Linked DNA regions of Saccharomyces cerevisiae S288C. The protein of the gene in region 2 purifies or fractionates together with the protein of the main gene of each other region. This does not show direct contact. Each region holds a gene or a part of one and is shown on either strand. Other genes may lie near its edges. The genes, in order: SHH4 and SDH3.

Region 1 (3,055 bases), on a different chromosome or scaffold from region 2:
CCTTCTCAACCACCAGACTGCAGAACATGGGGCAGGACACATCCTAATCTTGACCCTACTCCACTACTAGAAAGATTCAAGGCTATTTATTATTCACATAGAGAAGTAGAATTATGTCGTACTGTACATAGGTTAGACCATTGTGTTACGGGGGGGATGCTGATTGCAAAGACTAAAGACGGAAGTGTAAAATTCTCTAGATTTTTACAAAAGGGCGGCAACAACGGTTATAAGTTGCAAAGAAAGTATGTAGCTATTGTCGAGTCGTCCGGTCGTTTCAACAAACCAAATAACTATGAAATTAAATATGGTCCTAAATATAATTTCTTGATTTCACATGGTGGTAGGGAGATTACTAAGTTCAAAGAAGTTGACGAAAATTGTATTGTTTTACAATTGGTTACAGGAAAAAAACATCAGATTCGAAATCACGTCTCTCAAATTTTAAATCAGCCCATATTAAACGACAAGAGACATGGCAGCACTGTCAATTTTCCAGAGTTGTTCAATGACCAAATAGCGTTGCATTCAGCGTGCATAATAACGAAAATTGGCCTGCAAACTAAAACGCACTTGATACCTATGGAACACAATAATACTGGCCAACTTTGGTCAAGAAAATACGTCAATGAAGAGGGTGAGTTCACTTTGCCCATAAAAGAAGTCCTGTTGGAAAACTGGGACCAGTAAAATAAGCAATAAATAATCGGTTATTAAATTATTTCTAATACACATATATAACGAGAATAAAAAAGGTAGTCACCACTAACCAAACCATATTGATTAATTGATGATTACTGCCTCTTTTTTTCCACAGGTTTGTTATCCCATAATGATTTTAAAGAGGCAATAAGACCAGCTTCTTGACTCTCTAATTTATATATACCGACGAACGATAAAAAGGAGCCCAAGCTCAATAAATACATCGCGTAATGATGTACCTTTCCATAGACTCTTTCAGAAATATAGTCTATAATGCAAGACTGAAATCCGATATGACAATGACCTAGCAGGACCAAGGAAAGAAATGTGTCGGTAAAAGTGGAAATAGGGCCTGTAGTGACCAAGGGAACTGCGATCAGCGGAAGAACCGCTAAGGACAGTCCGCGCTCGACAATCCAATGGTACGAACCCTGAGCTCTGCTTTCGGGCGGCATATAAGAGGAATCATTTGCGGTCCCACTCACACCTCCAGGTTTCTGTGGAATCTTTGGCAGAAAAGGAATGGTAAAGGATCTGGCAATTGAAGTATGAAAAGCCCTTATTCTGCAGAGTGGTTTCAAAAACTTAGTCGATGACATTCCTACTTTCCTAAGAATTGGGGCAACCTTTTTGAGAATCGTTGCTGATTCATTAGAACTGATAAACGGTCTGTCCACTGGGGACTGAAAATATATAGGTTTGCTTCTATGAAATTCGACGTCAAAATTAAGGGATACCTATGGCCAGCGCCCTTCAACTGACGATTTTTAGTTATCATACGCGTCCCTTATTATCTTAAACCGTAATAAAAAATCGTTACTTCGGATAAGGGTACTCCAATCTGGATGTGAGAGTCTGATAGTACCATGTTAGAGCCGCGTTGAAGGTGCGAATCAGGGTTTTATTCTCCTTAAACTTGATCCCGTCCAAAGGAGTTAAGAAGTAAAATGCACGGCTTTACTAAGACTATATTTACGTATTAAATTCCTCAACACGTAGTGAGGAAAGCTAAAATGCTGAGCTTAATTTCTCAGCCAACAATGGGTGATACTACTGTTCAGTGCACAGATTAGATGACCAATATTATTTTCACGTATTTAGTGATATTCGTAATCGAGCTGGACTCATCTCTTTAGTAATAAGAAGTGAATTTGAACGCTATGGATAAATCATGATATCTTGCTCTCAGGCATCAAACTAGTGCGCAAAGTGATAGGTGATCATACAATGTTTTCAAGAACAGCATCCAAGTTCCGTAATACACGGAGGCTTTTAAGTACAATTTCCTCACAAATTCCAGGAACCAGAACCTCTAAACTTCCTAATGGGTTGACAATTGCCACAGAGTACATCCCCAACACATCTTCGGCTACTGTTGGAATATTTGTCGATGCTGGTTCTAGGGCAGAAAACGTAAAAAACAATGGTACAGCGCATTTTCTAGAACACTTGGCTTTCAAGGGTACTCAGAATAGGTCACAACAAGGAATTGAATTGGAAATTGAAAATATCGGATCTCATTTGAATGCATATACATCAAGAGAAAACACAGTTTATTATGCTAAGTCCCTACAAGAAGATATCCCAAAGGCTGTTGATATTCTAAGTGATATTTTGACTAAGTCAGTTTTAGATAATAGTGCTATTGAGAGAGAAAGGGATGTCATCATCAGAGAAAGTGAAGAGGTGGACAAGATGTATGATGAAGTTGTTTTTGACCATCTTCATGAGATTACGTATAAGGACCAACCTTTAGGAAGAACCATTCTGGGTCCTATAAAAAACATAAAATCAATAACAAGAACTGATTTGAAAGACTATATAACCAAGAACTATAAAGGCGACAGAATGGTATTGGCAGGTGCGGGCGCTGTTGATCATGAAAAATTGGTACAGTATGCTCAAAAATACTTTGGCCATGTGCCCAAATCTGAATCGCCTGTCCCGTTGGGATCACCAAGGGGCCCATTACCAGTTTTTTGTAGAGGTGAAAGGTTTATCAAAGAAAACACGTTACCTACAACACATATTGCTATCGCATTAGAAGGCGTGTCATGGTCTGCACCTGATTATTTTGTAGCTCTGGCAACACAAGCGATTGTTGGTAACTGGGACAGAGCCATTGGCACAGGTACAAACTCCCCCTCTCCATTAGCTGTTGCAGCAAGTCAAAATGGTTCTTTGGCTAATTCTTATATGTCATTTTCCACCTCTTACGCTGATTCAGGTCTGTGGGGAATGTACATAGTAACTGATTCTAATGAGCATAACGTGCAGTTAATTGTTAATGAGATCCTGAAAGAGTGGAAGAGAATAAAATCTGGCAAAATATCGGATGCAGAGGTGAATAGGG
Region 2 (3,299 bases):
CTGACCTTAACTTTTCTTCGATGGTATTGTCATCGGAGGACGTTGAGAAATTTATTAGCCATTCGAAAAGGTTAATCATTGGTTGTGGTATAAGTTTAAGGACTGATGAAATAATGCTTTCTATGTATACCAAGACGACTATAATGTAATCTGTTATCGATAATCTGCCTAAAAAGGGGAAGTACATTTTGCCAAAAGACAGTTTTTTAAAATAGTGCTAGAATAATAAAGTTTTGTTCGAATTGTTTTCTTTCTTCTTTCCTTGTTCCTTAATATCTCTGCACACCTAGTTATTCCTCGAAAATAATTCTTCTTGTATTTACTTTATACAAAAGAAAAATGACCGCCTATGTTTGCTTTTTCTTGCCAGTAACAAATAATAGCTTCAATAAGTATCCGGAAAGAAATTATCTTGATATCTGTAAAAAATCACTGATATTTTGTTGAATATGATTACTCTTGCGCTATCTTTTCCTGTTTTTCCTCTTGTTTGTTCCTTTATTTTCTCTATTGTATTTTACAGAAAGGCAAAAAAATAAAAAATGTGCCCCTAGTAAATATAGGTTTGTGTTAATCGGCATTTTGGGTTATAAAGATCTTAAAGAATAAATAAGTGCGGTATTGGGTCATATATAGGAACGTATATATAAAATTGGCTATATATATATTTGTGTGTAGAAACAGGTGCGTCGCCTTAAAGAATCATAAAGTTAATAAATAAGTACCGAGAACGGCGGTGAAACCAATGAGAGCGTAACCAGTTCTGTAAACGCCTTTCAATGTCAATTCCTTAGCGGTATCCCAGATCAAGTGTCTAATGGCGCCACCATAGTGAATTGCAAATAAGTAAGCAAAGGAACCCTTGATGGACCATTCGGTAATCTTGGAAAACTTCTGATGGTACCAATTAGAAACCTTTTCGGTAGTCAATCCAAGACCTAATAAACCAGAGACTCCGAAGAGTATAGTAAACAAGTAGAAACCTAGTCCCATAAGCACCAACGAAATACGGTGAAGAGAAGACAGGTACCAAGTTAATTGTGGCTGGTAAATGGTCAGATGTGGAGAAATAGGTCTCTTTGCTCTTTGCTTGTTTAATATTTGTTCTTCAGCAATTGCCGCTTTGGTGTTCATTTCACTGGCCACATTCTTCAATGGTGAGGTAGAAAGGAAGTTTGTTCTAGCTGTATTAAAAAGCAGCCTCCTCGAGGAGCTCAAGGCAGCTGCTCTTGAAAAGGCGGAGGGTTTCAGTAATAGAGCCGACTTATTCAGTCCTAACTTGACCATCATTGCAGACATCGTTTATTATTCTTAGAGCTTGTGATTGGCAATTTTTGGTTGGTCCTGAGATTTCTATGCGGGGATCTCGATATCATAATGCCAGTGCACATTTATACAAGTACCAAACGCTTAGAGCGGAAAACGGAGCGGGCTACCGCAGCCAATCAGAATGGACCTGGTCAAAAGTTAGATGATGCTTAAGACTACTGAATGGTATACAAGGTAATATATAGAAGGCTGTTGGTATACAGCTTTCAATCACAGATAAAAAGTATAGGTATACTTATGGGAGGAAAACTTTGAATTCTTTTCTTCTCTTTTTCACCACTAGAACATCCTTTAACTGCAATGCCGCGGAAAACATAGGTTTCATTGAAAGAGAATCCTGTTATGATATACTCAAAACTATATGTATATAGATATATATATATATATAAGTGAGGGAAATTTCTAGAACCTGGAACTCAAGCCCTCTTATTCATTGATTTTTCATTTTTTTTCATTTTCTGTTTACCATATTTCGGTTCCTCTTCTAAGGGAGAGACCTAGATAGCGGGCAACATCATTAAATGCATCATCTAGCTCATCTTTGGAGAACTTTTCCAACTCCTTAGAAATCTCTTCATCAGTGGTCTCATTAATGTGAAAGGCTTCCACCTTACCTTCCAGGAAGTTTTCAAAATCTTCTTGTTCCTTTAGAGTTGGTGGCAATCTTTCGTAGAATTTAGCAAGTCTTACCAGTTTTAAGTCTGGGATGTCTTTAAATTCTTTCAACGACTTAGGGAACACTCCGTCTGAAATAGCAGGAATATCACCATCTGCATTAGGCAGTGGCGCTATAACGTCATCATCATCTTTTTTCAAAGAGTTAACAAGTCTTCTGATAGACCTTTCCTCGATGAAATTTAGCTCACCCTGTAGTTCTTTGACTAATTCCACTAGATCTTCATTTGTGGCAAAATCAGTGGCATCGAATTGAGTAGCGGATCCTGATTTCTTCGAGATAGATTTAGAGAATTTCGAATCAAAATCAGTTACGTCGTGCTTTTGTTTATCTAACTGCAATTCCAGCACACGCTCTCCTGTCTTAGAGATAATCAGACTTTGCTTCTTCACTAAGTCTTGTAATTCAGAGACTTGCTTCTGCAGTAATTCAATTTCGTTAGACATTTTCTTCCTGCTATTTATTTATGTGTATTTACTTCCTTTCTTAAAATGTACTTTATCTGCGGAATACGAGTAGTAAGACAAGATATCTCAAACGGTTACTAATTTGAACGGCTCTTTGAAGCAATGCACGCCGGTTTTCTTTATACTAAAACAATATTTGAATAATGAAAATCGACCTCCTTCCTCCACCCCCTTTCTCCGAAATCCACAAAGAGCACCGCCGCGTTTCATAATTATTACCCGGTGGGCAGGATGTATTTTAGCATCAATGCATTCTAGGCTAAGTATACATGTCTACACAGTACTTGTAATGTAGGTGCTTTCTCATCTCATTCTACTCCTCTAAAATTTTAAGCTGCTTAGTGTATTGGTGACCTTCTCAAGTTTCTTTTTCTCTTGCCTTTCACGATTTCTTCTCTGAGACAGTTTACCTTTGCTTACTTCATCAGCAGCTTCCTTCAGCCTTTCAATTTCTTTATCTTTCTTAGCCAGTTTACGGCCACCACTCTCCAGTTCGTAATTGTCCAAAAAGTCATCAAGCATTGACTCAAAATCAGATCTTTCTGCTGACATGTCAAATGGTTGGTAATTTTGTTCTTCGTCCTCTTCTAGTTCTTCCTCATAATTTTCGTAACCATTGATGATTTGATCGTACTGATCATCCAGTACTGTCATCGTCTCTGTACGCGCAATGGCACTTGAACTCATGGAAAATCCAGATACATCTGACATGGCACCCTTTTTTTGACGGCTCTTTCTTTTCTTCTTCCCCGTCTTGCTTTTGTCTTGGATAGAGGGCAATTCGCCCAGCACATCTTCCTCTTCAGAGGGATTTACACTGTCTAAAC

Evidence for each region.
Region 1: the proteins of SDH3 (region 2) and SHH4 purify together in Saccharomyces cerevisiae (affinity purification with western blotting; 2 studies listed by BioGRID). This does not show direct contact.

The regions. Positions count from the first base shown.
Region 1 is NC_001144.5:492,129-495,183, reverse strand, and holds SHH4 (protein SHH4), read right to left. Parts: upstream 1,302-3,055; coding exon 795-1,301; downstream 1-794. Other genes in the region: pseudouridine synthase PUS5, read left to right, coding at 1-690; MAS1 (mitochondrial processing peptidase), read left to right, coding at 1,930-3,055. UniProt on the Saccharomyces cerevisiae protein: Homolog of SDH4, but seems not to be a stoichiometric subunit of either the succinate dehydrogenase (SDH) complex or the mitochondrial inner membrane translocase TIM22 complex.
Region 2 is NC_001143.9:177,667-180,965, reverse strand, and holds SDH3 (succinate dehydrogenase cytochrome b subunit SDH3), read right to left. Parts: upstream 1,300-3,299; coding exon 703-1,299; downstream 1-702. Other genes in the region: TGL1 (sterol esterase), read right to left, coding at 1-187; MRP8 (Mrp8p), read right to left, coding at 1,792-2,451; ribosome biogenesis protein LTV1, read right to left, coding at 2,794-3,299. UniProt on the Saccharomyces cerevisiae protein: Membrane-anchoring mono-heme cytochrome b subunit of succinate dehydrogenase (SDH) that is involved in system II of the mitochondrial electron transport chain and is responsible for transferring electrons from succinate to ubiquinone (coenzyme Q).